Linked DNA regions of Elephas maximus indicus. The protein of the gene in region 4 interacts with the protein of the main gene of each other region in a pairwise test. Links are inferred from orthologs where the notes say so. Each region holds a gene or a part of one and is shown on either strand. Other genes may lie near its edges. The genes, in order: RTN4, AKIRIN2, CTPS2 and SPG21.

What was found.
Region 1: the proteins of SPG21 (region 4) and RTN4 interact in a two-hybrid assay, tested with the Homo sapiens proteins (2 studies listed by BioGRID and IntAct). The two-hybrid records come from large-scale screens. The link is inferred for Elephas maximus indicus from reciprocal best matches to the Homo sapiens genes SPG21 and RTN4.
Region 2: the proteins of SPG21 (region 4) and AKIRIN2 interact in binary tests that used the Homo sapiens proteins (3 or more experiments, as listed by UniProt). The two-hybrid records come from large-scale screens. The link is inferred for Elephas maximus indicus from reciprocal best matches to the Homo sapiens genes SPG21 and AKIRIN2.
Region 3: the proteins of SPG21 (region 4) and CTPS2 interact in binary tests that used the Homo sapiens proteins (3 or more experiments, as listed by UniProt). The two-hybrid records come from large-scale screens. The link is inferred for Elephas maximus indicus from reciprocal best matches to the Homo sapiens genes SPG21 and CTPS2.

What each region holds. Positions count from the first base shown.
Region 1 is NC_064844.1:7,147,665-7,154,984, reverse strand, and holds the start of RTN4 (reticulon-4), read right to left. Parts: upstream 3,028-7,320; 5' UTR 2,800-3,027; coding exon 2,205-2,799; intron 1-2,204. UniProt on the Homo sapiens protein: Required to induce the formation and stabilization of endoplasmic reticulum (ER) tubules. They regulate membrane morphogenesis in the ER by promoting tubular ER production.
Region 2 is NC_064819.1:151,247,815-151,255,335, forward strand, and holds the start of AKIRIN2 (akirin-2), read right to left. Parts: upstream 3,028-7,521; 5' UTR 2,442-3,027; coding exon 2,207-2,441; intron 1-2,206. UniProt on the Homo sapiens protein: Molecular adapter that acts as a bridge between a variety of multiprotein complexes, and which is involved in embryonic development, immunity, myogenesis and brain development.
Region 3 is NC_064846.1:162,888,621-162,896,176, reverse strand, and holds the start of CTPS2 (CTP synthase 2), read right to left. Parts: upstream 3,009-7,556; 5' UTR 2,798-3,008; intron 2,723-2,797; exon of another isoform or gene 2,446-2,722; intron 1-2,445. UniProt on the Homo sapiens protein: Catalyzes the ATP-dependent amination of UTP to CTP with either L-glutamine or ammonia as the source of nitrogen. Constitutes the rate-limiting enzyme in the synthesis of cytosine nucleotides.
Region 4 is NC_064831.1:55,137,360-55,145,417, forward strand, and holds the start of SPG21 (maspardin), read right to left. Parts: upstream 3,039-8,058; 5' UTR 2,905-3,038; intron 1-2,904. UniProt on the Homo sapiens protein: May play a role as a negative regulatory factor in CD4-dependent T-cell activation.

The DNA.
Region 1 (7,320 bases), on a different chromosome or scaffold from region 4:
AAACTATGTTTTAGCTCCAAAATCACAATAAAATTAAATTTCAGGAGCATATTTCTAAAATAAACAGTATTTGCTTAAAAAGACCAAATTATTACCATGGCCTGTTAGACAACAAAAAGCACCTGCGTGCCAGTCACCTCTCCACCCTCCTTTTACACCACTCTCCCCCTGGTTTTACTCACTAGCCTTCTTACAGATTCTCAAGCATCCAAGAGCCTTTGCCCCAGGAGCTGCTTGGAACATTTCACACATCCTAATTAAACATTCTCCATGGCGTCACCCAGTTTATTTTCCTCATAGCACTTACCACCATTTCAAGTTTCTTATCCATGTTTATTCTCTGTACCCTGCCCCCAGGCAGGCACACGTCTTGCTTCTTGCTAGGTCCTCGGAGCCCAGAACAGTGCCTATCTCGTCAGGCAATCAATAATTTGCTGATCCAATGAAAAACGGTGTTAGGAAGACTAGACTCATTGATATGGCTATCTATGACTGTAACCACCATGTTCCTGCATCTAAGAAAGGCAGTATTCTCTCATCTCCTAAGTTTAGGGTTCCAACAGTCAAGATTCTAAGAGAATGAACGCAGTTACCTCCTGGACCACCACTGGTCAAAGAACAGAACTCTCCTCTCAGTTCCTATTCGGGGATCCAAGATAACAAGGCAGTATGCTTTCGTCAATGATTACATTTCCTTTCTGCAAATTTCTCGCTGCTTTATATTTTTATCCATCACCTTATTTTCCCTCAAGTGTTTCTTTTTGATACAGAAAAAAGGAAAGACTGAATTACTTCTCATCTTCTAAGACCTTCTGAGCAGTGCTGTGGGGCAGCCAATATTGAAACGTTATTTCAGAAGCATTGTCGCACTTGGCTTACTTTCCCTGAAAGGATAGGAGTGAACTGGAAGAAAAAAAAATCTATTGTGTGATCTCAAACTGATTTTCTTTTTCTAGAAAATGGACCACTCACTTCTAAAATTCTACAAGGCTATGAAGATTTCTCAGCAAGCATTTATACTACCTGATTCTTGACCTTTTACCTAAAGAAAGGTTACACAGCTGGTAGGGCATTTTGTGTCCCAAAAGAACAACCTACTGAGCCATGCACCTAACAAGTCCCCCAGTCTCTAACAAGCTTGATTTTTTTTCTCTTCCTAAATAGCTTCCCAAGATGAAAAGAGTAATAAAACAATGTTCTGAAAAATAATAACAATATACAATCAGCCACGCATACGAGTTAAGATTTAAAAACTCTTGGAGACCATACAGGTTTATCACTGGTGACCTAAAACTTCTCAGAAATAGTATATCTAACCAAAATATTTCATTAAGCCTCATGGGGAATCTGTCACAAGTCCAACTGGCCGGGTTCCAGCAAGGAATCTACAGATTTCCTCTTCTTTAAGGATGTCAACCATTTTGCTGTCTCCCCAACCCCCTTAAATTATGGTGCATCGAGGCCGAATCGGTCCACACTAACAATGCCCCCTCCCCCTGAGAGCCTGGCAGAACTGCGCCCCCTCGGACCACAATGCCCAGATGGCGTCTCGAAGGCTCAGTTCAGCTGGTGGGGAGTCGCCACCTCACAAGCCTGCTAAACTGGGCGGTGGCAGGCTTGGCCAGAACCCTCTCCTCCCCAACTGTCCCCGCACCACACCACTGGAGGCGCTCTCCCTACACTGCGGCTGGGTCAGTGTGGACGTTTTTTTCCATGAGGCCAGCTCCCCACTAGCGCAGAAGTGGGGTGTGGAGTCTGGAGCGCAGGGGGACTGCCTACACTAGCGAGGGGGTGGGAAGGGGGCCCTGGGCTGAATGACAACAGCCCCGCAGTGAAGCTGCACCCTTTCCCAGACGGGCAGACAAAAGCCTTTCCTAAAAGCTTAGGGCGCCAAGGGCTGCCCATCCCGACACCAAGCCAGCCCAGTGAGTCCACAACCCCAGTTCCTCCACCCACACCCACTACGGCGCGTGCCCCACTTCGGGGACGCAGTGGAATGGGGACCAGAGGGAAGGAAGGGGAGAAGGGAGGGTCGGGAGCGGGTGGGGTGCACGTGCTCCCCGAAACCCAGCCAGACAATGAAGCCGGGCTTCCCCGGCGCCCCACCCGTCTCCCCCGTCCGCAGACAAAGCCCCCCGGGGTCCGGAGGGCGGGCCGGCGCGCGTCGGGAGCTGCACACAAAGGGGCGAGGGCGCGGCACTCACCCGCGGAGCCCGAGGAGCCCTTGCGCTTGGGCGCGGCCGGCGTGGAGGGGGGCGCGGCGGGGGCCGGGGTCCACGCGGGCTCAGCCTGGGGGCTCATGCCGGCCGGGGGAGGAGGGGGCGGCCGGGCCGGGGGCTCGTCGTCCTCGGGGAGCGCGGAGGGCGAGGTTGCGGCCGCGGGCAGGCTCTGCGCGGGCACCGTGGCCGCCGCGGGACTGGGGTCCCAGGGCGCCGGGCGCTCGGGGGCGGCGGAGGGCGCGGCCGGCAGAGGGCCCCGGGGCGCCGGGGGCACCAGGTCATCCCCCAAGTCCAGCAGGGGCGCGGGGGCGGCGGGCGCCGGGGCGGAGGGCGCCGGGGCGGGCGCCGGGGCGGGCACCGGCGCGGCGGGCACCGGGGCGGCCGCCAGCCCGGCGGCGGGCTTCCTCTCCAGCACCTCCAGCTCCTCCAGGTCCTCGTCCTCGTCCTCCTCGTCCTCCTCCTCCTCCTCGTCCTCCTCGTCCTCCGGCTCCCGCACGAACTGGTACTTGAACTGGGGCTGCGGCCGGGGCGGGGTGTCCGCCGACGAGGACACCAGCGGCGACTGGTCCAGGTCTTCCATGGCGGCCGGGCTGCAGACGGTGCTGCCGCTTCTCCGCCGCCGCGCGCCGGCGCTGGTGGGGGCGGGGAGCACGGAGCGGGCCGGGCCCACCGAGCCGAGGGAGCTGCAGGGCCGACGACTCCCGGAACAATGAGCCTGCGCCTCCTGCCTCCGCGCGCTGATGCGCCAGCCGCCCGGTCCCCAGCTGCCGCCGCCGCCGCCCAGGCGACCAAGGAGAGGCCAGCCGACGCCCCGCCCCTTTTGGCGTGACTCACCCTCCCCCCGGGCGGGGCAGCGACTGGCGCGGGAGGGAGAGGGCCAATCGGCGCCGAGATGGGCGAGATGGACAACCAGCCGGCCCAACGGGAAGGGAAAGAGATGACGGCGGGCGGGGCTTGGCGCACTTCCTCTCTCTGACCGGCTGGGCATGAGTTCCGTGGGCGGGGTTTGGACCTGGGAGCCCCACCCCCACCCTGGGTGGATGGGCGACTGGGTGGGGTCTCGGCCTTGCCCGGTAGCTGGAGGTCGGTTTGTCGTTCAAGTCCAGCGACCCGGAGCCGACTGCGGACCGGAAGGGGTCGGAGGGCTTTCTGGCGCACCACCGGAAGGGCGTTATCCTGTTGGGCGGGGGGCGCGGTGTGGAAACTTTCCTCCCCGGAGAGGGAAAAACCCATAGTGTGGAAGGAGGCCTTCGTGATTTAAATACACATTCAATTGATAAAGAATTTGAAATAAAAGATGACTTTTTTCCAAACTTAACATTCCCAACCCACCTCATCACCCCCCAAGAAGTTTGTTTTGACAGTTAGGGTCGCTCCCCGCCTGAACTGCAGCCCTGGAATGACGCAGGCAAATAGGGCCGAGCAGAGGATCGGGGCGTTTGGGGTGGAGGGCCTCGCGGTCCGCTCATCTCCCTCCGGGAGGGTTTTGGGCACCGTGGCTGGACGTTCACATGGTGGATGGATGAGTCACCGAAGAGAGACGGGGAAGAGGGGGAAGTGGAAACAAAGAACGCCTCGGAAGGCAAATGGGGTTCGCGTTACCTCCCCAGTCACCTTGGGCTCGTCCGTCGACATCTCGGATGACTCAGGCTTTCTGGGAGTCAGGAAGCCCGATACACACTACTTGGATACGCCAGAATGAGTCTGCTCTTTATTCCTCTTTTCCCCAAACTGGAACGTTTAGAGAACGTGGTTGCAGACCATAAAAGAATCAGCATCCGGAGGTTTATGGATTCTTTTACCTTTCTCTGCAATGCCTTCTCCGCGAGGCCCTGGAGAGACGAGGATAACGTGCTCTCAAGTTGCTCGCTCTAGACCTGCGCTGGCCAGTGCTGTAGCCCCGGGTCACTTGTGGCTCAGAGCACTCGAAATGTGCTGTGTCAACATAAATGCACACCAGATTTCAAAGACTACTCTCCCCCCCAAAAAAGTATATAAAATATCTTTTTTTAATTTTGGTTGAAATTGATAATACTTTGGATATGTTGGGATAAGTAAAATATACCATTAATCTCACTTGTTTCATTTTACTTTTTTAATGTGACTATTAAAAAAAAACCGTTGCCATCAAGTCGATCCTGACTCAGCAACGGAAAGAACGGAGTAGAACTTGCCCAAAGGGTTTCTGAGAAGCGCCTGGTGGATTCAAACTGCCAGCCCTTTGGTTAGCAGCTGTAGCTCTTAACCACTACACGGCCAGGGTTTCCAATGTGACTACAGAAACTTGTAAATGCATATATAGCTCAGAATATATCTCTATTGGACAGTGGTAGTCTAGATTAATGATCGAGATATTTTAACTGCTGCTGAGAATCGCAGGTTATTTAAGCAAATTGTTAGCTCTAACTAATTAGTATTACCCTAAACCCACTGCCGTCAAGTCAATTCCGACTCATAGTGACCCTATAGGACAAAGCAGAACTGCCCCATAGAGTTTTCAAGGAGCACCTGGCAGATTCGAACTGCCGACCTTTTGGTTAGCAGCCCTATTACCCTAAAAAAAAAAAAGGAATCTAAAAAAAAAACGTAGAACAAGATTTCCTGGCAATGTTACCTGATCCAGTGAACTATCAACAATACATTTAAGGCCTAGCACTAATTCCACAAAGATAAACTGGCTTTATTACTCTCGAAATGGTTGTGAGTTGTTTGGGGTTTGTTTAGGTTGGGGTTTTTGAAAAGAGTAGGAAGAGAAAAGCATTGAAGTAGAATTTGGGGGTGATAGTGGTTAACACAGGAAAACCTGGTTGCTTAGTGGTTAAGTGCTACAGCTGCTAACCAAGAGGTCGGCAGTTCAAATCCACCAGGCGCTCCTTGGAAACTCTATGGAGCAGTTCTACTCTGTCCTATAGGGCCGCTATGAATCGGAATTGACTCGACAGCAATGGGGTTTTTAGTGGTTAACAAATGTTCTGTCTTCAACTTAAAACTTCTCTCTTCAAACCTTCTACTGGCTTATTTTGCTGATAAGGTAATGCCAGGTTAAAACTGATTCCTACAATGATGACTGAAATAGTCACGTTTTGAGTATTTGTCAAAAATTACCTAAAATATACATGATTTTCAACTAATTGTATACATATACAAAAATATACTAGCAAAATGTTTATGGTACAAACTTTTTCTATGAAGTCACAGTTCGGCTGTTTCTCCTACTATGGTTGTTTTGAAACAGCTGAATGGGAAGTTACACAGGGTTCTCCTGTATCATCTGTAAGTTACTTATGTGATATTTCTGTATTCCTGTGTCTCTGTACCTGCTACTACTAAAATAGTCTCAAAGGAATATTCTTAATCTATTGAAAGTTTTATAAAAGAATGAGTATAGTCCATGTTACGGAAAAGTAGTAGAGCTGCAACGTTAATAGTAAACAGCGATGAATTCTGATGCACTCTCCTCTGATGCAGAAGAAAAATAAGAATTTTATATTATTGATCTCAGCAGCTTCTAAAAATTAATATTTGATGCGTGAATAAGAGTAAGGCATTTACCCAGCGTCTGTAGGATGGTCAACAAAGCACAAAGAAAGGAGAACGTTGCTGCTATACCAGAATTATAAGCTAGTTACGCCTTAGTGTAATTAGATGCAAAGGCTGCTCTCGCTAACAAAATTCTGGTGGACGTTTGGAACGCTTAAGGAAAAAATGCAAATTCTAAATCATAAGAGTTTGAGAATAATTATTTAGTGAAATATCTTTGAAATGATCTTACCAGAAGTAAAGGATTAAAGTTCCCAGATATCTACTTCTTAGGAACTGTTGTCTCTCAGAACACTACCTGAGATCCGTTCAGAGACTCCTAGAATCTCAGAGCCAGAAGGGTTCTGAGAGGTCAGCTTGACCTACCTCCCTCCATGACAAGAACTCCCTAGGAAGGTTTATAAAGTTGGTCTTCTGTGGTAGATTAAAAATGGCCACAAACTCTTCGCAGCAAGTCCCATCAAGAGTTGAAGTCTATCGCCTCACCTCGCCTAAGGTGGGCTTGTGACTTACTTGATCAATAGAATATTCTAGAAGTGAGTTCCAAGCCTAACCACCAGGGGCGCTACAGCTTCCTCTTTCCCCCTCTTGGAATGCTGAGGCCCTGTGAAAAAACCTAGACTATTTATCCCTGTTGCTATGATACTGAACAGGTTTTAGCAGAGCTTCCAGCCTAAGATGAACTAGGAAGAAAGGCCTAGAGATCTACTTCTGAAAATCAGCCAGTGAAAACCTTATGAATCACATCAGGGTGAACGACAATCAATCACAGGGATGATGCAGGACTGGGCAGCATTTCATTCCCTTGTGCATGGGGTCGCCATGAGTCAGAGCTGACCGGAAGGCAGCTAATGGTATTCATTATGGAAGATGGAAATCACATGGTCAGAGCGACCTAGCCATCTGAGCCACTCAACTCATGTCCCAGAAATGAGAGTGAGGCCATCTCAGATGTCCAGCCAACCCACAGAATCATAAAAAATGATGAATCATTGTTATTTTCAACCTCTTGAGGTGGTTCATTACACAGCAAAAGCTAATTGAAACATCATCCAATTTTGCTTTATTCATTCACACAAGAAATATTTGTTGGGTATTTACTATGTACCAGGCACTGTTCTGGAGCCCTGGTGGTGCAGTGGTTAAGAGCTCAGACTGCAAACCAAAGGGTGGGCAGTTCGAATCCACCAGCTGCTCTTTGGAAACCATATGTGGCAGTTCTACTCTGTCCTGTATGGTCACTATGAGTTGGAATGGACTGGCCAACAACAGGTTTGATTTTGGGTTTTTTTTTTAAGGCACTGCTTAGGTCTCTGGGGATACAGCATTGAATAAAACAGACACAAACGTGCTTGAACATTTTCAGCAAAGGGAGACTCACTTCTTAGCGAAACAGCCCATTTCTTCTTTATAGTATTACACATTGTTGCAGAAAATGCTGAATTGATATAACCTGGTATATGCAGAATGGTTAATTGTTTTTTTTTTTTTACATCGTGGGATGTGGATTCCAGAGGGGGTTCAGACACTGCCGGAGAATTGGGTTCCAGACAAACCTATC
Region 2 (7,521 bases), on a different chromosome or scaffold from region 4:
GGATATGATCAAGCTTTAAAAACAGATGTCGAAAAGTACCTTGAAGAAGACATAACCAGTGTTTTGAAAATGAAAGTGAATTTGAAGTAGCTGGCTTTAACAATTCCAACTGTTTTATTGTTAAAGTCCACTTAATCAATTGAAATATGTGAGATAACTCAGAGCCAACTGCATCAACCAATGCTACAAATATATAAATTAGATTACAGGCTTTCAAAGGATCACAATTCTTTCGGAATAAGTTACCTTTAAAGTGGGGAAAATGGTACAGCTTCGGGCTGGCTTACCATATGCTCAAGACTGTTTCAGCACTGAAATATACTTTAACTCCCAAACCTAACACTGTATTAATTCACTCCCTTGAAGGAAATTTATTGCTGGTTAGCTTACAGCTCCCAAACCCAACACTGTATTAATTCACCCCCTTGAAGGAAATTTATTGCTGGTTAGCTACAGCTATTTTTAAATGGCCTTGATAGTTAAGTACAGATTCCATGATACCATTTCAACTGACACCATTTCACTAAAAAGACAGACTCTAAATGTAATGTTAAATACCAGCTCATCCTGAACACTGTGTTTCCTTTATGTTTTCAAGTAAAGTTTCACAATAAATCAGTGAATGCCTTTACACAAAAGATGATTTTGATATGGTCATTAAATAAAAATACCTGTGAATTCAAGGCTCACTACCACTCTGAAACAGCATGCCCTTAAGTTAGACCAAATATTTAACAGCAAAAACGGAAGCCTGGGTATGTAAGCCCCCCCTCCCCAACCATCTGGAAAGGGAAATTAAAAACCTGACTTCAATACAATAAAATTTAAAACCAGTCAATTTCAAATTGAAGTTACCAAATACAGAGCTACATGCTGCCCACAGATTTTTGTTTGTTTTAAACTAAGGATAACAAGACATTTAAATCAAGCCATGAAAAAGGCTTTTTATCTAGGGTCATATTATTACCAAAGGCTCATATACAAAACCTTTGCGTGCTCCACACAAAGGAAACAGATTTACACTTCAAGTCCACAAAAGCCTATCCTAGGACTGTGCCAGGGGCACACAAGGCTTTCAAAGTACAGAAAAAATTGGGCATACACATGCTGTAGGGAGCAGCCAAAAGGCATTTCCCCATAGTCACTTTCAGAAAATGTTTCAACATGAAAAGAAAAAAGTCCCTCGGAATGTGGGGTTCATTTATTACTCTCAATGCCTAGGCTTTTTTCTCCCAACATATTTTCTTAGGCAGAAATAAAGCATTTCCAACTAAAAGCAAATGCTCAGCCCGTGTTTCCAATACCATTTGCTTGTCATTAGAAGTTCAGTATTCCTCGGGGTCTAGACGTTTAGCAAGGAGCCCTAGTAGCGCAGTGGTTAAGCGCTCGGCGGCTAACTGAAAGGTCAGTGGTTCCAACACTCTAGACCAGGAGAAAGATGTGGCAGTCTGCTTCCGTCAAGATTCAGTCTTGGAAACCCTATGGGGCACTTATACTCCGTCCTACAGGGTCGCTATGAGTCGGAATCGACTCGACGGCAATGGTTTTGGTTTTGACATATTGTGTGGTCATATTACCGTACCCGGGAAACGCATTTTCTTTGTTGTTGACCCTGCTAAAGAAACAGGTCTTGACTCACCCAAAGTGGCGTTCTTGTGGGTGATTAATGACAGGCCTAGAACTCGCCCCAGTGACATCCATCCCCACCCCCCACCCCCTCTATACTAAAATCAGCCATGTCTGAACTGGAGGAGGGGCTGCCGCCTCGCCTCAAGCCCCCCACCCCGCCGTCCTAGCGTTAATAGCTGCAACCAATCGATTCAGGCAAGAAAGACGAGATTCGAGTGAAATGTGACTCCTCTCTCGCCTAAATTTATGAATAATATCGCCTTATCTGATCGTTTCCGCTGGGCCTCTGCCGACTACGGAAACACTCAATTCCAGTCATTCAGCCTAGAGAAAAGCATCGTCCTCTTCCCCACAGTACCGGCAGAACACGGTTCCTACCCGCCCCACCTCCCGACCCCCATGACATAAACCCATTTCTATTGTGTCTCTGTAGCTGGAGAAACAAATTAAAAGAAATGTGCTTGCCCGGCTACTTAGCTCAGGACACGCGGAACAGTCCGGAACCCCCACTTCAGCAGCCGCATCCCGCGGCCCCGGGACCCCGGTCCTCTCCCCTACCCCGGCGGGCAGGACCCACCTGTAGTGAGGCGAGAGGAGACATCGCCGAAGGGGGACGGCTCCATTCGGTGATACTTCTGCGGCGAGGCAGCGGCGGCCGAGAAGGAGGCGGCTGTGGCCGCTGCCGCCGCCGACGGAGAGGCAGCGGCCGAGGTGGGCGCCGACAACGGTGCACATCGCCTCCGCTTTGGGGACGCCGGGCTCAGCAGTGGGTCGAAATCAAGAGTCCTTTTCAGAGTGGCTCCGCACGCCATGGCCGGGGGCAGCGAAGGCGCCGGGCTCGGGTGGGGTCGGGAAGGGGTGACGGGAGGGGGGGGAGGCAGAGGAAGGGAAGGGGGAACGCGGGGTCTGAGAAAGCCTAACCAACGGGTTCACAGAGATAAAGGCTGGTCGCCGAACGCCGGCTGAGGAGAAGAGAGCCGCCGCCGCCGCCGCCTCCGCGGCAGGGCAGTGGCCGGGGCCGGCGGGGGCAGGAACGAGAGGGGCGGTGGCGGCGGCTCACGCCAGCCGCGTCAGGGGGGGCTCTTCCGCCTCCTCAGGCGCGGCTCCCCGGGGAGAGGCTCTGGCCGCCCCCACCGTCCGTGCGAGCTTTGCGCCGCGCCTGAGGCGCTCCCGCGATGAGACTGGCTCCCTTCGGAAGTCGATAACAACCCCGAGAAGTGTGAGGCTTGAACGCGGCTCCTAAAGTCCCCGACTAGGGTCAGTAGCTTGCGAGCGGCGGTCGATGCGGAGGGATTACGAGGTGAGGCGGCTTCAGGAGCTCAAACAAACACGTCCAGCCGCTTTCCTCTCCACTGTATGACTCTTCCACCCGCCGCCGGCCCCAATATGGCGTCAACAACAACGCCGCCGATTCAAATCCTGCGGCCTCAAGGCGCGTGCGCGTAAGGGAGGTGCCACCCCCTCCCCTTAGGGTGTCTTATGGGAGTTGTAGTTTTTCTCCGTGAGAAAGACTCGGCCCGAAAGGCGCTGAGATACCTTCGGACAAACTACGACTCCCGTCTTGCAAGACGGGAGAGTCCGAGTTCCGGGTTGGATTTAAATCCCCCTTACACAGCTTGAATGTAAAAGGAACTGAGCTAAAGAGGTAAAAGCCGGAGGGGGAGAGAGGAGAGCAAACCCATGGCAAAAGCGGATTAAGAAATATACAGACCATAAAAACTCAGGAGGTAGTTATTCTCATACAATTCCCCCTAGTGAGTTAACAACTGGGAAATACAAAACTAAACCAACCTAACAGTCCAAGAAAGGTTAATTTCAATAATAAGAGTTCCAAAACCTGTCACATCGAGGGGCTAGAAAATGAGATTATGGAACCCAGTTAGGACTGCGAGCGACACTATTAGATTACAAGGTCCTCATTTGAACTCGATTTTTTCCCCTTCCCAGGTAGCTGCTTGCATCCACTTAATTCTGCAAAGACAGTTTTATTTCTGTAATAAATAGGATTTGAACAATGTCCAGAACCGAACTGTTTTGCTTTGGATAAAAAGCGAATAATATGAGAAATTGTATTATCTCTGTTGCATATTGGCGTATATCCTATGTGGATGGTAAGAATTAAAAAGACAATAAAATGTATAAACCAAAAAAAAAAACCAAACCCTTTGCTGTCCAGTCAGTTCCGACTCGTGGCAACCCCATGTGCTGAACTGCTTCATAATGTTTGTCTTGGAGGAAGTATAGCCAGAATGCTCTTTATAAGCCAGGATGACTAGACTTTGACTCAGGTACTTTGGACATGTTATCAGGAGGAACCGGTCCCTGGAGAAGGACATCATGTTTGGTAAAGTAGAGGGTCATTGAAAAAGAAAAACCCTCAACAAGATAGATTGACACAGTGGCTGCAACAATGGGCTCAAACAGCAGGGATTGTAAAGATGGCACAGGACTGGACAGTGTTTCATTCTGTTGTAGGTAGGGTTGCCATGAGTCGGAACTGGCTGGACAGCACCTAACAACAACAAAATTTTTATAGAAGCAAATCACCAGATCGTTCTTCTGTGGCACCACTGGATGAACACCAACCCCCAACCTTTAGGTTAGTACCGAAAACCCAATCAAACACATTGGTATTGTGTGGATTCTGAGTCATAGAGACCCTACAGGACAGAGTGGAACTGCCCCATAGAGTTTCCAAGGCTATAATCTTCACAGAGAACCCCTGGTGGCGCAGTAGTTAAGAACTATAGCTGCTAACCAAAACATCAGCAGTTCAAATCCATCATCCACTCCTTGGTAACTGTGTGGGACAGTTCTACTCTGTCCTGTAGGGTCGCCTCCACGGCAACAGGTAATCTTTACAGAAACTGTCACATCTTCCTGTTGTGGAGTGGCTTGTGGGTTCATACTGCCTTTGAGTTAGCAGGCAAGCACTTAACCACTGCACCATCAGGGTTCCTTTTAGGTTTGTAGTAAAGAGCAAATTGTTTGCACCACCCAGGGACCCAAATAAAATGTGTAAGTAGTAAATACTGAACCCACTTTGTAAGCAGAGAAAAAAAAGTTTATGAAAATTATACTCTTGTTCAGGTACTAAAATAATTAAATACAGCGTTAGTAAGAACTAGCATGTCCTCGGCCTATAGAAGCTGTCACCAGTCTAATACAAACTATTTTATGTGAATGGCATTCTATCAAATGATTATAGATGTCAAATACTGGCTTTCAATGCCCGTTTATTCAGTAACTAAAAGATGTTTTGTAGCCACTTTGTCTATTATTGTTTATACTGTTTTTGGATAGTAGTTCAATATGTGCTTATAGAATTGTCCAGCATTTCAAAGATCAGCAGTCCTGATCACAAGGTTAGTCTCAACAACTAAGCCATGTACATCTTAACTTATACTGTGGAAAATATCTTTTGAAAAGATCAGCTTTTAATGAGATACTAGTTTAACTATGACACTTACTAGATAAATTTTTACTAAATACTAAACTTTAATCCATGAAACCCATGAAACTATGGGTTTGGTTTTTTCTTTTTTTTCGGTTGTTGTTGTTAGCTGCCCTCCAGTCAGCCTCCAGCATAGCGACCCCACGAACAACTGAAAAACACTGCCCAGGCTTGTGCCTACTGACACTTTAAGACTCACCCCAGGGATTAACTCCTCCAGGAAGTCTTCTCAACCCTTCAGGGCTGAATTAGTTTTACTAGTGATAAATTATCTTCATCATTACCCTCACCACATTGTAATATAATTCTTTGTTCATAAATCTGCTTCTCTCATCGTTGTGTAAGCTCCTTGCCAATAGTACAGTGCGTTTTACTCTTTAATAAATACTCAGTGAATGTTCTTAAAGGATTATTTTTATCGCCCTATCCACATGGGGTCCCCGTAAGTCGGAATAGACTCCATGGCAACTCACAAAAACATCCTCCCACGGCCCACATCACCCTGTGCCTTAAGATAGATATCTGCTAAAATATTATAGCAACCGTTTTAGGGTAGAAGAAAGCTGATGGAGGAAAAAAAAAGAAGAAACCTAAAATAATCTTCGACTACAATTGAAAAACAAAACTATATTTAACACATTAATAATTTGAATCAGGTTACATGAACCTAAATATTGAGTACAGCAAGTGACTCCAGTGATCTACGAAGACCAGAATTGCTCTTGTTGTGACTAAAAGGCTTTTAAGGAATTTTAGAGGTTTGAATTATTTAGAATAGTTTTCCCATCATCTAACAAGTATTTTCTGATTTGTACAAATCTCAGAAGCCTCTGAAGAAAAACTGTTTTACCAACATGCTGGAATAACTTAGCATTAGGCTTTTCTAACACCTCCTAAAATATTCCCTAGGATCTGATTCTGATGAGTCATTCTTTGACTAAAGCCAGTAAAAGTAGACATGGCTGGGTGACACAAAGTCTCATCATCCTGAGCCTGAAGAGCCTCTTCATATTAAAAACCATCTTCAGACGGTTTTTCTGACATCAAGTAAAGATAAATGCAAATACATGAGGTGTGGAGAGACGTTTGCTAACTGCGTACTGAGTTTGAGTAATCATAGGGTCAGCATTAGGAAAAGCAGTTCTAATTCAGAAGCTACTTCAGATCTACATTGAGAATAAGCATTAAAATGTTTAATCATAGTGTGAATGAGCACAGTTAGGGAAGAATAGACATTGTAATTGGTTCCTCACAAGATTTTGTAGGCTGGCCCAAACCTCTTCTAAGCACCATGTTTGAAATACATACAATTCTTCATTGTAGATAAGATGCTGGCTAATTTTACTTTGGCTTCATTATTCTGAATTTGTGTCATTATTTTGAGTTGCTATTACAGAGTAATCAAAGCCATATGGCCTCAAGTAACCTCAATATGTCACATAGTCCAGCCTCAAGCCTCTAGGCAAGAATACCTATACTCTGCTCAAACCAGATAGGTATCTGTCTGACTTCCTAAAGATTTTCTGGAACAACATCCAGAATCCTGGTCAAGTGTAAAAACACCATTGCAAATTCTCTAATCTGGCTTTAATCTTTTCTACATTAGAAGCTGATTTCTACTTGTATCGTGCTCTATAAAGAACAGAGCACTCCAGGAAATAAGCTATAACTCACTTATCCTGAGGGACTTTCAAAGGAACACAGCACGATTTCTATGGAAATTTCTGTGGAAGGATTATAAGAAGTCCTTACTTTAAAATTTGCAGGGTGTTGTTCTCAAGGGAGAACCTCTGTACCTTACTCTGAAACTATTTAACTTAAAAATTCAGAATATTCTATCTCGTTTGGGGATTCTATTTCCCAGCCCAAACCAATTAGAAGAATCAAGTAGGAGTGGGAAAAGAGGACTGGAGATGCTGCTGTACACTGACTACAACAAACAATAGAAATCACTGAAGAGCAAGGAAAAAGACTATTAAAAGAAAAAAAAAAACTACAAAATTCAAAAAGCACAGCGGCCTTGAGCCACTTAAACATCAGGACAATTACAGAGCTCAATTGCACCTGAAGCATCCCTGCGTTATTATAGCACCGTGTGATAATGGTAGGGTTGCCAGATTTAACAAAGAAAAATATAGGAAGCTCAGTTAAATTTAAATTTCAGATCAAGTATTGTATGTGCTTTTCTGAAACTCAAATTTTACTAAGTGTCCTATATTTTAGCTGGCAACCCTAGATAATGCTGTGCAAGACAGTGACCCTGAGACATCAAGAAAAACCTCAAACTAAGTTTAGCAGGCTGTTCAAAAAGTGTTTCAGTTTTCACATTCCAATACAATATTAGTAAATGTCCTATTGATAGTATTTAAGAAAAAGTTTCAATTATCTGGCAAGCTAATTTAAGTGAAATAACTTGGGCTATCCCTGTCGCGGGGAGC
Region 3 (7,556 bases), on a different chromosome or scaffold from region 4:
GTGACATAGTGGTAATAATAGTACTTACCTCAGAGACTTATTTGGGGATTTACAAAGCATGCATAAGGGATAAATAAAGGTAGCTGTTACCATTTCTCAGCGCCACCTACTCACTTATTTGATCAGCTCTCAAGTGTTTATCGAACATCTCTTAGTGCTTGAGGAAACCCTGGTGGTGTAGTGGTTAAGTGCTACGGCTGCTAACCAAAAGGTCAGCAGTTCGAATCCACCAGGCACTCCTCGGAAACTCTACAGGGCAGTTCTACCCTGTCCTACAGGGCTGCTATGAATCAGAATTGACTCGACGGCAACGGGTTTTTTTTTATTAGTGCTTTTTTTTTTTTTAGTGCTTGAAGGTCCCTAGGTCGTGCAAACGGTTTGCTCTCAGCTACTAACCAAAAGGTTGGTGGTTCGAACCCACTCAGTGGAACCATGGAAGAAAGGCCTGTAAATTTGTTTCCATAAAGATTAAAATACACGCAAAAAAAGCCATGTTGCCGTCGAGTCGATTCCGACTCACAGAGACTCTATAGAACAGAGTAGAACTGCCCTATAGAGTTTCCAGGGAGCACCTGGTGGATTCGAACTGCTGACCTTTATTGGTTAGCAGCTGTAGAACTTAACCACTGCACCACCAGGGTTTCCTCCATAAAGATTACAACCAAGAAACCCCTGTGGAGCAGTTTTACTCTATAACAAATGGGGTCACCACGAGTCAAAATCAATTGGATGGCAATGGGTTTGTTTTTTTTATTTTATTAGTGCTTGACTTGTTCCCAGTTCCTGGGGCTATAGGAGTAAACAAAAAAGACAACATCTCTGTCTTCTCAGATTTCACATTTCCCACGGGATTAAAGGGAAAATAACTGTTTCTCTAATTTTACCATATTCTAAAACCTATGCTACGTGAAAAAAGCATGATATAAAATTGAACACAATATTATCTCAACTAAGTTTAATTATGACTGGTCAAAAGTACACCAAAATGTTCATTTTTAATATATTTAGGCATTTGGGTTGTAGGCAATTACTAGTTTTCTGTTTTTCACACACACAGGGTGCCTTTTTAAGCACTTGCGATATTTTAGAAAGTCCTTGAAAATGTAACTTATCGCCCAGCTATAGCTAGTCCTTTCTACCTCTTTTAAGCAAACAAGTAAGTGAAACAAAGTTTAAAACCTGCAGAAGTCAGGCTCTGTTTTAGATCACTTCCTTGCGATGGGAATAGCTTCCCTTGTGAAGATTCAACTTTTTCATTTACTGTAATAACAGGAAGCAGAGCCAAATGTTTCTAAAATAGGAGCGTAGAGCTGCGCTGTCCAACAAAAATATGTGAGCCACGTGTCTCATTTTAAATCTTCTAGTAGCCACATGAAAAATTGAAAACAGCTGAAGTGAATTTTAATGTTATTACTTAACCCAATACATTCCAAATATTATCATTTTAACGAGTATTCAACATAAAATTTCATTTATGAGATATTTAACATTCTTTTTCTGTACTAAGTCTTCCGAAATTAGCTGCGTATGCTCATAGCACATCTCAGCGCAGACAAGCCACGTTTCCAGCGCTCAGTGGCCGCACGTGGCGGTGCTACCATATTGGGCTTCGCAGACCCAGAGCACACACCAAACACCAGAAGACCCCTTCTCAGTGATGGCCACTTAAAAATTACTTTTAGTCAAACAGAAAAGAGTATCCACTGAATGATCCCATTTTTATTAAGTTCTAGAACAGGCAAAACTAAGTAAGCTATGACAGAAATCAGAACTGTGGGCGGGGATTGACTGGAAAGGAGCGCGAAGGAAAGTGGGTGATGGAAACATTCTATGTCTCCTTTGGGGGAGTGATTGTAACGGCTGTATAATTTGTCAAGTCTCACTGATCTGCACACTTAAAACTGGTGCATTTTACTGTATATAAATTAAACATCGGTTTAAAAAAAAAAGATGCCAAAAAAAGCTATTTGGTGGCACTAGCGCAGTTCAGCGCCGTGCTCCACAGCCAGCTATTAAGGGGGAAAGCCAGGGTTGTTGCTGCAAGTGCGCCCGGCTGGGGGAAGGGGATGGCCCTCGGCGCGGGGCCCCACTTCCGCGAGCGTGGTCCCGGGGCGCTCAGGCCCCGAGTGCGGGGAGGAAGGGAGGGATCGGGGCGCCGCGGCGCGGAGAGGGAGTTGGGCAACGCCCGGCGCCGGACGCCCACGGGCGGGCTCCGACGGGCGCGGGCAGGGCGGTGCCCCGGCTCCCTGCGCCGGCCCACTCCCGGGACACGCCGGCTCTGGGCCGAGCGCGGACTCTGCGCAGGGGCAAGCGCCGCCGCCATCGGGGCGGGGGACAAAGGCGCCACGGCGCGCCGGGGCTGGGGGCACAGGGCCGGCCGAGGGGCACGGGCGCGGAGGCTCTGGGGGTCCCGGAGGCGCGGGGGAGACCCGGGCGGGAAGTTACCTGCGCGGTGGTGGCGGCGCCGGGCTGGGTGGCCGGTGGCGACGGCAGGCTCCGCCCCGCGGCCTGCCTGGCACTCACCTGTGGGACCGGGCGATGAAGGCGGCCGCCGCTAGGGGTGTCCGGAGTCCCCACCGGTCCTCCCGCCGCCCACGCGGGCCTCTCCCCTTGTGCCCTGCAGCCCGCCCGGCTGATTCTGGCCGGGGAGCCTGGGGCTGACACCCGAGTCTGGGCAACGGCCAACACCAAGCGCTAAAAGTGCCTCCTCTGGCACCGCCAGCCCCCGCCCACCGCCCGGGGCGCCCGCGGCCCCAGGCCTCGCTCTTCCCAACCCGCTCCCCCAGCCGCAGCTCACTTGGCACTGGCACTCCCGACGCGCGGTTAACTTCACGGTCCCCGGCGAGCCCCGGCCCCTTCTGCGGCCAAGCCCCCAGCCTGGGTCCTCCCGTCCAGCTCTCACTATTGTGAAGAGCTGCGCTCTGTCACAAACGTTTGCTGATCCCTGACTATGCGCCAGAAACTGCAGGAGCGCTCAGGAGAGGGCGAAAGAAAACGGAATTCTGCGTTTGAGGGGCTCGCCGTCTGGCGGGAGAGCTACAAAAGGACTGGAATCAGTGAAGTTTCATAGAAGGAGAAGTTGCTGGAGGGCGGGGGGAGAAGTCAGAGAACAATCAGAGCTTCAGAGTAACTTAAGAGGATTTGGTGGTTGGCTGGTGTTGAGAAAGGACACCAGAGGTTATTAAGGAGAAGGGAAGAGCTTACAAAGCACCAGGAGAAAGACTCTAACGGTGTCTGAGCATTTGCTAGGTAACAGCTCCCTTAAACAGGCTTTCTCATTTGCATTGTTACCTCCTTTTACAAGTAGGGACCAAAAACAGAAACCGTTGCAATCACAGAGTGACCCCATGCGTGTCAGAGTAGAACTGTGCTCCACAGAGTTTTCAATGGCTGTGACTTTTCAGAAGTAGACCGCCAGGCCTTTCTTCGGAGGTGTCTGGGTGGACTTGAACCCTTATGCCACCCAGCGGCTTACAAATAAGGGCATTTGGTTTCAAAGACCCTAAGTTACTGCCTTTAAAAGGGGTCTCTCCTTGCAAAGTCTTGCTGTTAGTGCTAACCCCCTCCTACCTTAGGAAAACAAAGTGCATATTCTAGGAACTATATTCAGGGGCCTAAGGGTCTTTTTTTTAAGGGTCTGGTTTTCTTTGGAGTGGTCCAAGTAGAAGATGAGGAGGAGGCACAGATGCACAGTGCTATCTTTACCAAATCAGGGAGTACCAGAGGAACAAATCAGATTGAACCAAGGAGGAGAACTCCTTCAGCTATGGGCCTAACTAAGGGATCTAGGAGCCAGCAGGGTAAGAGGTCTTCCTAGACTTCTGGGCGTATGGGTTTAGGGATCAGGAAAAGGACCTAGAGATATAGGTAGTGAAAGCCACCAGTGTTGAACTTATGTAAGGAAACAGTGTAGAGAAAGAAAAAGAGGACTGGAAATCACCAATGATATGTAAAAAGGGAATTTGTTTAAAAATTGTCTGCCAGTAAGGCCACTGATCTGAATTGTTCTTTATCTGTACTTGCTTCCCAGCTATCTCAAAGAAAGGTGTTGCCCTTCTCTCCTCAGAGCTAAGCCCTACCTAGAAGGAGAACTAGCAAATGCAATAGGAGCAGAAGCGGTTGCAAACAAGAAGGGAAAGAAGCAGGAGAGGATCGTTTTTTTTTTTTCAGAAAGCCAGGTGCTCCTGAGCTGTCTGCCAGGTGCCTCAGAGAACACAGGGAAGTAAAGACTGAAAAGTACACTTCCAATTTAGGGAGAGCAACCAGCGTCTTCACGGGAACTCTTTTTCAGCAGTGCAGTGGGGTCGGAAACCATATCGCTCATGGATCGAAGAGTAAGGAAAATTGAGATGGTAAGTCAAGACAGCCTTTTGCAAAGCCTGAAATGGAAAGAAGCAGTGGAAAAATGATAAAAACCAAAAACCCGACTCACAGAGACCCTATAGGACAGAGTAGAACTGCCCCATGGGGTTTCCAAAGAGTGCCTGGTGGATTCGAACTGCCAGCCTTCCAGTTAACAGCTGTTGCATTTAACCACTACGCCACCAGGGTTTCCAGAAAAATGATAGGTAAGTAAATTTTAAGTATGTTTATGGGTTGAAGGGAAGGAGGGAGAAGTTAAAGATACAGGAGAGAAGATTAGAGTCCCAGGGAAGAGATATAGAGTGCAGATGGATAGAATTAGCTTTCAGCCAGAGGAGAAATGTCTCTTCCTTTGAGATTGGAGGGAAAGAGGTAAGGAAAGGTGAGAATACAGAAAATGTGTGCGTATAGGGATGGGAAGCTGAAAGAGTTTGGCCCAGAAAGAGGACTTCTGTTTTCTCTATCGTATAGCCAGGGCTATCTACAGAAAATAGAAGGTTTTGAAGTGAAATGGAAGGTTTAAGAAAGTGGTAAAAGTTTTGAATAACCAGTCTGAGACACTAGAGGGACAAGTTAGTCAAGTGTCACTAAAAAAAAAAAAATTCAAACCAGTTGCCATCAAGTCAATTCTGACTGACTCATGATGATCCCATGTGTTGCAGAGTAGGACTACACTCCATAGGGTTTTCAAGGCTATGACCTTTCAGAAGCTATGACCTTTCAGAAGCAGATCACGAGAACCTACCTCTGGGTAGGTTTCAGTCACCAACCTTTTGATTAGTAGTTGAGCACTTAACCATTTGTTCCACTCAGGGACTTCACTGAAGACCTAGTGAAGTTTAAGAACCATAATTGTGTAGTGATGTTCAGCTATAATTTTGCAAGATATATAGAATAAAACCAAAAAACCAAACCCATTGCCGTTGAGTTGATTCCAACTCATAGGGACCCTGTAAGACAGAGTAGAACTACCACATAGAGTTTCCAAGGAGCGCCTGGTAGATTTGAACTACTGATCTTTTGGTTAGCAGCTGTAGCACTTAACCACTACACCACCAGGGTTTCCAAATATATATATAGATAAACATAGATAAAAAAATATAGATACTTATGATAAAAGCAGAGATTGCTGGTTGGGTACAGTAGAAGGACAAGACGGGGAGGGAGTTGAGGGTGCTAAAAGAGTGAGATTGTAGTAATGGAATAGGGGTCTAGTGTGTAGAGGAAAGGAACTGAACCCAGCAGGGAGCTAAGAGATGGGGAAAAAAGAAAAGAGAAGGATCAAAAGACTGGAGGCTCAAAGGAAGAATGAAGAACACCAAGGACACAAGGTAATTATGAGCCCAAGAAACAGAAAGGACCACATAAACCAGAGACTACATTAGCCTGAGACCAGAAGAACTAGATGGTGCCCGGCCACAACCGATGACTGCCCTGACAGGAAACACAACAGAGAACCTCTGAGGGAGCAGGAGAGCAGTGGGATGCAGACCCCAAATTCTCATAAAAAGACCAGACTTAATGGTCAGACTGGGACTAGAAGGACCCCAGAAGTCATAGTCCCCAGACCTTCTGTTAGCCCAAGACAGGAACCATTCCCAAAGCCAACTCTTCAGACTGGGATTGGACTGGACTATGGGATGGAAAATAATACTGATGAAGAATGAGCTGCTTGGATCAAGTAGACACATGAAACTATGTTGGCATCTCCTATCTGGAGGGGAGATGAGAGGGCAAAGGGGGCCAGAAGCTGGCCGAGTGGACAAGAGAAGAGAGAGTGGAGGGAGGGAGTGTGCTGTCTCATTGGGGGGAGAGCAATTAGGAGTGTAAATCAGGATGTATATAAGTTTTTGTATGAGAAACTGACATGATTTGTAAACTTTCACTTAAGGCACATTAAAAATTATTAAAAAAAAAAGACTGGAGGCTCAATTCAAAGAGGGCCTATGAGAATGGGAGAACTGGTACGCTGTCACCAGAGAGTGTGATGTGGGAGTCAAAGACTTCAAAGGGGAAGCAGTTAGAGGAGATGATAAGATGTAGGGTATGACCACTCATACGGAATAAAAAGTGAGATGGCGATCACTGGAATTGGATCTAGCACTTACAAGGCGAGTGTATTGGGCATTGAGGGCTGCATGAAGGAGGTGGGAGTTGAGGAGTAAATTGAGGCCCAGGACCCAAATCTTCAGTGAATGTAGGAAGTAACCCTGGAGCTAACAGATGAAGACAACAGAGAAGGATAAAGAGTTGTATGTTGTTGTTAGTTGCTGTCAAGTCGATTCCAACTCATGGCGACCCCATGTGTGCACAGTAGAACTGGGCTTTATAGGGTTTTCAAGGCTGTGACCTTTCGGAAGCAGATCACCAGGCCTGTCTTCCTAGGCACCTCTGGATGGGTTCAAACTGCCAACCTTTTGGCTAGTAGTTAAGTACTTAACCATTTGCCCCACACAGCTGCCTAAAGAGTTGTATAGCAAAATTTGTTTCAAAACAAAAGGGAGACTTTCTCCTATGAAGGGTGAAAGAGATGTGTTGTGGAAGAGGCAGTAAGGGGCTAGGGATACTGATGTCAGCTTCTGAGAAAATGAGCACAGGCTTTACTCGGGGTCATCCTTAGGGATCCTCATTACAAAAAAAAGAACTCATTGCTGTAGAGTCCATTCTGACTCATAGCAACCCTATAAGACAGAGTAGAACTGTCCCATGGGGGGGCCCCACGGAGTGACTGGTGGATCTGAACTGCCGACCTTTTGGTTAGCAGCCCAATGCTTAACCACTGCACCACCAGGGCTCCAGTGGAGACCCAGGTCTCCGTAAAGGCCGAAATAAGGAGGAAACACCTTGTGAAAAGGCTGGAGATACAGATAGATGGGTTTATCAATGAAGCAAGCCTTCTAGAGCACCCAGTGGAAAGGATGTTTGTGAAATAGGTGATCTCAACAGTAATACTTATTACCTGCCAGGTACACAAGGCTTTCCTTCCATATTTCAGTACTTTATTTCCAATTTACAACCAGGGCCGTTATACTCTTCTAATGAGGAACCCAAGGCTCAGAGATGGGAAGTGCCTTGTCCAAATGTACATGAGTTAATGTGAGTGCCAAAGCAAGGACTTCGGTCCAAAATGTCTGTCTCCAAAGCCAGACTTTTCTCCACAGGATATAGGGTTTCATCTAGTAATAGAATTCTCT
Region 4 (8,058 bases):
GGGCAAGCCTGGATTTCCTGGTAGGGCTAAGACGAGTTCGAGACTCTAGGATTTTATTCCTGGCTGACGCTGAACTGTCGTTTTAGACGGAGTCCTCTGGACTGGCAAGGAGTGAGGGGTTCTAAATCCAGTGGCGCTCTTCCTCCTTAGCCCTTCAGGAACACAGGACACGCAGCAGTCTCTGCTGTCACCTCTAACCTTGAGGTGTTACTAAACTAAACCCTAAAAATAAGGAGACAGTAAATCTAGACATTCCAATACTAAACTTGATTTACAACTCGGACATTGTAATAATGGTCTCTTCTCTCAAGGCTAAGACGGTAGTTTTAGAAAAGCTTGTTAAAATCATAAGTTGCTTTGAAGTACCAAGAAAATCATCAGCCAGTCTTGTGCTGAAAATCAATGTGCACAGACGTGGTTATTACTCACACAGAAATAAAGAACACCATTCTCTGCATATCCATTTCATCTTCACAAATATTACCACGTTGAAAAATCTAAGCCACCTGAGCTGGAGTCTCTCCCTAAGCTGATTATTACTTTTAGTTAAAAGCAACTAGCACATATAATTAATCCTGTTGTATTTTTTTACCTGGACGGATTTGAAATACTAGACATGTTACAGTAATGCATCACTAGAAACAATTACTCTATCCTATAGGAAGCAATATAAAAAACATGTTTAGCAAATAAAATCTACTTGATAGATTTATAAAAACATCTTAGCTAATTAAAGGCAGAAAGTCTGCTTCTAGATTCCCCAAATTTGAGATAAAATAAACTTCAGAGTTTTGGGATCAATTGCAACATACAAACCAAACTACTGTACAAACATGCATGTACGCATCATACAAAGGCATGCAAATCCACTCAGTCACAGACTTCTTCCCCACAGCAGGCGATCAGTAGAAAGGAGTTCCTTACCAACAGTCCTCAGTCCTATTCAAAACCACCTAAGTATTATAACATTTTATAACTAACCCTGCTGGATGGAGATATAACATCCAACTGTGACTAAATTTTTATGGAGACAAGTGATTGTAACACTTGTGCTAGTTTGGCAGTACTTGAAAGGCAACAGAGATACCAAATGTTACGGCTGACCAACAGACATCTCCCTGGAAAAAATCTCACTGCAGCAAAGGCAAAGCAGCTGTGAGTGGTAGGAAAAGGAAAGTTTGTTCTCCTACCTTTTTTCCCATCCACTAAACCAACCAGTAGCTGTGGAGACAATTCTCACTCCTGGCCATCCCATGTGTTTCAGAGTAATAATTTAATTTATTGTTCACAGTTTTGGGATCAGTTGCAATGTACAAACCTAACTACTATACTAACAGGCATGTACGCATCATACACAGGCACACAAATTCACTCAGGCACAGACCTCTTCCCCACAACAGTAAGTGGAAAAGGGTTCCTCCATAGGTTTTTCAATGGCTGTGATCTTTCAGAAGTACATCACTGGGGCTTTCTTCCAAGGCACCTCTGGGCAGATTCAAACCACCAACCTTTCTGATAGTAGCTGAGTGCTTAACTGTGTGCACTACCCAGGGGCTCCTTCATCCACTGAAGTCACAAGACGTACATTCTGAACACGGCAGAGAAGATGAACCAAGGCTGTGACCAAATTGACCAGTATTAAACAAGAACGCGCATCGTGAGCTCAATACTGATTTGATCTCTCACAATTCAGTTCTTCACAAAACACAAAAGCACCTTTTCGTGCTGGTCAGAAAAGTGCCAAATAGATTAGCCTCAATCTTGCCTAAGGAAATCTGTCCTAGGGTGTGCTGAGGACACCCAGTCCTCCCTGGCCCTTATGCTGCTGGACAACAAAACTGTCAGCCGTTGAGCCTGCCTGGAGGATCAGACACTTGTCCCTCAGGATTTCAACAGAACCAGCCAGGTTACAGGCAACAAAATGGCCTTCACAAACGTTTAAGAAGTCACATAATGAGCTTACCCAGTCAGAGACTTCCCATCTTTTACCTCAACCCATAGTTGATCTACATATGGACAGTCTCTGATTGTTATTAATACCAACAATAACAAAATAATAGTACCCAGGAGTCTCTAGGTGATGCAATCGGCTTTTTAAGGCAAGTCTCCAGACCTAGACACCAGCACATAGCTATCTTTTAAATATATTTTCAGGGAAGATATATCCTTTTCTTCAGGAACCTATTCCATTATTTTCTAAACTTCATGGAAGAAAAAGCTGTCTGCTCAGCATCTCTTCTGTGACACGGCATCTTGTGCTCTCGGTATAAAAGTTTTTGGAAATTCGGACACAACTGTTAAATTACTCCTCAGTCTTTCGGATTTTTGTGCCAACTGGAGCTGGACCACCCCTTGTAGGTGAAAACAAAGCAGCAGCCTAAGCCCAAGCCTGTAGCTCCCCAGGAAAACAGACATCCTAGCGCTGTGACTTTCCTCACCCTCATCCACGAGCCTCATACCTGGCCTTCCTCAGCAATGACAAAGGCATTTGTGACTTTCAGGCTGAGGTGCAATCTCCGAAATAACCAGCCTCTGCCCAGAGTTCCTAAAAGTTTACCGAAAAAAATGTTCCTGGCTGAGGCTGCGTAGCCCGGGCTGGGTTTACAGGAGGATGCCCTGCCTGGGCAAGCTCCCCGAGGCGACCCACACACAATCCCCCACCCACCCTCACCCGGGCCCACCGGTTGCAGCCACATAAAGGCGGAGCCCCAGGCACAGCGACCACCCCCAGGACCCAGGTTCGGCCTCAGACACACAGACACAGACACACACAGGCTTGCAGTCACGCACACCGTCACATGGACCTGCCCACTCGGGGCCACCCGTACAGTCACACCGACCGAAGCAGCCGCGCACCCTACACACGCCCCCAGCCCACTTCCCACGGCCTCGCCCACCCCTCACCTGCCGTGGTCAGCCCACGGCCCTTCCCCTTCAGGCCCGGCTCGGGCCGGGGAGGCGGCTGGCCGGGGAGTCGGGGGTCCGGGCCCGGCACGAGCGCTCAGGACCCGCAGGGCGGACGGCGGCAGGGGCGCGCTGCAGGGCCGGCCTCCGAGGGGCGGGGCGCGCAGCCGAGCGAGCCTGGGCCACCGCCTCCGCCGCCGCGCTCCCCCTCCCGCACCCTCCGCACAGCGGGCGCCGGCCTTGCGCTTCCGGGTTTGGCGGCGGGCGGGGCCACGTCACGAGGAAGGGGCGGGCCGCGTGGCTCCGGCGGTCTCCATGGTGACGCGGCGGGTTGGCGCCAGGGGTCGGAGGCTCCTAGACGCTCGCGGGATCCCGCCTAAGGCTGGGGCAGCGGGCGCCGCACCTGGCTGTGGCGTCAGGTGCTGACAGGTCTGTGTTGCCTCTGGGTCGGCTTTCGGTCGCCTGTACTGAGTTGGGCATCTAGGGGAAAGTCGTGGGAAAGAAGAGAGCGCTGGGTCCCCTGGGACCCGCTTCTGCATTCAGTTCGCGTCCACTTGGAGAAAGTAGGTGCCCGCCGTTTCCCCTCTGCCGTGTAAAGCTTGAGGGCATCCCCTTGGGTTCCAGGTTTTGGGGCACGGGGTTCTGTATACTCTTTTCCTGGCACGGTAGCGAGTGCCCCACCTCCCTTTCCAGCTGTGTGCTGACGTTCTGGGGGATTTCCGGAACAGGCTCCGAAGGAGCTTCCTGCTCCATCACTTTACCCTTAAGGGCATAGAGAATGTTGATGTACTTACGATCACTGTTCTCAAGCAAGGTCCTGGAAAAGTCACGACATCCTGTCAATAAAATAGTCGCAGGTTTGCATTGAAATAATGTATAAGGCTGAACAACATGTAAATCTCCCTGTATGATCTTGCAACAAGGTCCTGCTGAAAGTGCCTCTCCCTAATCTGCTTTACTGGAAGGCCTTCTTCAGACTTTGCCCTTACCCTGTCTAGTGTTCACAAAATTCAGGTCAGGGGACATGACTAGTAAATTGCGTCTTTAGTCATGACTTCTGTCCTCTCTGCCCAGGAGCTGTGGGTCCCAGTCTAGAACTTGGACAAATACCAAATGTATTTCCCAAGAGCACAGTGACACAGTCACCTGATTTTCTCCAAATCACCTCTTTCAGAATTCAGAGTCAGTCACAGGAAGTAATCCTTTATTATAAGCACCATATTGGCGTATAGGGCATGTTTCCAACATTAGAGGGCTTTTCTCAAAAATTTAGAATAGTTTAATGAATGGAATAGCTCTCAAATCACTCCTTGTATGTAAAACCCATTATGGAAACTCATTACATTTGTTCTCTGTCCCCAAGGTGGCCAGGAGCTTCTATGGAAAGCAAAGGCAACAGGGGTTCAGCCAGTGCCATAGGACATGTCCTAATAATTTATTTCCATTAAAAACCAAAAAAATTCACAAGAACTTTAAAGAGACACTGGAAAAATACAAAAAGACATAAGGTTTGTGTTAGCAATCAGGATAAAACAGAAAGAAGACTGGAACATTGGCACAGAAGTGGGAGGAAAGCTAAGAGTCACTTAGGAAATGGCCACTGGCTCAGTCTGACAGGGAGGCCAGGTACGTATATGAGAGTGTTGTATCCCACAGAGTCAATTCCCACTCATGTTGAATGAATGAATACGTGCATGCATGAGTGAATGAATAAATCCATCCACATGTATTCCTACGATTCCTTAGACCTCACATCCCTACACCTCACTTTAGTAACAGCCCTGATGAGATCTAAGCTATGGATTGACTATGCCCATAAATATTAGAAGTCCTTGTCTGTTAGGTTTGGTAATAATAATTTTGAACTTGACTGTTGATAATAAAAAAACATATCACTAGATAGCTATAGGGTCGCTATGAGTCCATTTGACTCAAAGGCAACAGGTATAAAGCTATGTTTTGTTATGTACCTACTTTTGTTACAATGTAAAAGATTAGACCCCAAAAATAATGACTAGTTTGCTTGTTTCCATTAGAAAAAGACCCCATGGCCCTGTTTGGATCCTCAGTTGTTCCATAACACATGACAACCAAACTGCCCATTTTCTAATCTGAACAAGGAACATTTAATACCTGGGAATTCCAGCTGTCCTGTAAGGCACAGCTGCCGGCAGCAAACTTTTGACCCAGGGTACACCACAGTGCAGGCCAACATTGTGGATGTTGCTGGGAGGGTTTGCAGCTGTTGTGGTTGGGGTCTACCAGATGGTTCCCACAGCACCAGTCCCTGTGTTAGAATCTCATGTGAAAACTGGAATGCTCACAAAATATGCTGTGAACACCAAAGTAAACATGGCCAGCTGGGTCTCAGAAGGGCTCAACTCCAAGCAACTGTGTTCACACATGCATAGAGTTTAAAACACACCTAAAAGACAATTCTAGATATATCTCTATGCATATATATACATCAGTGAATTTTTTTTTTTTTAATGTTGAAAAGCATACACACCAAACAGGATAGTGATTATCTTTGAGGAGTAATTGAAGGTAGGGTGAGGGGGTGGTGAAGAAATCTTTTGGCTTTAGATGTAGTATTTGAATCTGTATAAGAATGCATTCATGTATTTGTGTGATAAAAATAATAAAACGCAGCTATGTTCTACTCTGCCCTGTAGGGTCACTATGAGTTGGAATCGACTCAGTGGCAATGGGTTTGGTTTTTTTGGATGTTTGTGCGACTCCCTGGCTTTCAATACCACTGCCTTCAAACTAAAGTCCAAGCTCGTTTGAGCAGGTCAGGCTCTTGACCGACCTCTCTATGGGACCAAGGTACTCTCATCATACCAGCTGCTGCAAGGGTCCCAAATACCCCATGTGGTTTCACATGATATATGCTGTTTCCTCCAGTGAACCGCTTAGAGTGAATACCCACATTTTGCCTCCAGGAACCATGGATCTGTGAAAAAGTGAAAAGGACCCCACAGTCATGTTTGGGTCCTGAAGTTATTCCATATCACATGACAAGCACATTGTCCATTTTCTAATCCAAACAAAACCAAAACCAAACCAAACCTGTTGTGGTCGACTCATAGAAACCCTATAAGACAGAGTAAAACTGCCCCATAGAGTTTCCAAGGAGCGCCTGGTGGATTCAAACTGCTGATCTTTTGGTTAGCAGCCATAGCTTTTAACCACTACACCACCAGGGTTTCCTGTCCAAATAAGGAACATTTAAAATCTGTGAATTTAATATCTGTAACAAAACACTTGGTTTTTCAGACAAATACCAATTCTTGAAATACCTCTCTTTAAAGCTTCTCGAGGTGTGATTAACTGCAGTGTTACATACCAATTATGCTGAAACCCAAGACTGAAAATGAATGCAGCTCTGTGTCAAATGCACACTGCACTGGATTCTAGGGATCAGACAAGTGGGGATTCTGGAACTGCCCAAGAAAGATGCTGACATGGCTCTTCTTTAGCCTGCTACCTAAAGACCCCATCAAAGAGGAGTTATATACAGTTATTTATCATTGCTAATTAGTTATGATTGGGTAACTAAGAAACCTGAGTTCTTTCCCTGGGCAGACATTTCCTCTTGAGGCCTGACTTGACTTCCCTGTAAAAAGAGTCCAAGGATGGACTAAAAGGTCTCTAAGTCCTTTCTGATTCTAAGATCTTGTATTCTATAAATTTATGAGGAACGTATTTAAAAATCTTTGCAATAGCCTTTCCTTGAAAAACTTCTGTTAATCCCCCCTTTCTGATTTCCAATTAAACTTTAAAAAAATTAGCCTATACACAAAAAATGCCGATTTAACTGAAACAGTATTTTAACTTGTTGGAAGACTTATTGTTTGTTAACTGTTCACTTATTAAAATAGGAACTGCTAAGCAAAGGTGCCGAGTTTTTTGTATCATCTGCCAACCCAGGAGCTCATAATGTCCCTCCTGTAAAAGCTGGTAATTTGCCATCTTGGGATAAAAACAGCAATAAAGAATCTTGGAAAACAAGAGTGTCACTGTTTTAATACAAAATAAAGCAGCTTCTGACTGTAAGATTCTAGAGAATTATCGAAATTTGTAAAGGTAAAAAAAAGACAGTGATTAAGTTGTGACTAAAATGAGAAAAATCTTTTTGAAACCGGATAGTACAGTCCCTGCATATAACGGGCACTGGATTAGCATGTGTGCTCCTTCCTTAGCTTCTGAAAGCCAAAGTCTAACACCTTAAATTCCCAGATGAAGGATAAAAACATTTGCAAGTAGAGGCAGCGTATTAGAATGGTTAGGCCCTCAGACTGGAGTCAGACAAACCCAAGGTGTAAATACCAGCTCACCACTTATGAGCTATTTAACATTCTTGCGCTTTGGTCACCTCATCCAGAAAAAGGAAGATAAATAACAGTACCTGCCTTACAAGGTTATTGCAAAGATAAAATGAGATAGTCCATGTCACATCCTTAGAAATGGGGCCAGCACTCAGTAAATATTAGCTAATAGTATCGGTATTGAGAACTGACTGTGTTCCAGGCACTGTGCTAGGTGTGTTATATATATTATTTCTATTCTTCATGACAATCCTTGCAAAGTAGGTATGATTCTTCATTTCATGGATCAGTGGCATCATTAAGGGGGTGTAAGGGGTACAGACTGCACCAGGCGACACTGTCAGAGGGGGTGACACCAAAATAACTGTCTATAAAATTTTTGTGCACTGTTGCAGCAGAAATTTATTATTTTTATAAAAATATCCCTGCACAGTGTTTACAGTAGCAAAAAGCTGGACGTAACCAAGGTGTCCATCAACGGATGAATGGTTAAATAAATTGTGGTACATTCACACAATGGAATACTACGCATCGGTAAAGATTAGTGAGGAATCTGTGAAACATTTCATAACACGGAGGAACCTGGAAGGCATTATGCTGAGTGAAATTAGTCAGATGCAAAAGGACAAATAATTGTATAAGACCACTATTATAAGATCTTGAGAAATAGTATAAACTGAGAAGAACACATTCTTTTGTGGTTATGAGAGGGGGGAGGGAGGGAGGGTGGGAGAGGGTTATTTACTGATTAGTTAGTAGATAAGAACTACTTTAGGTGAAGGGAAGGACAATACTCAATACAGGGAAGGTCAGCTCAACTGCA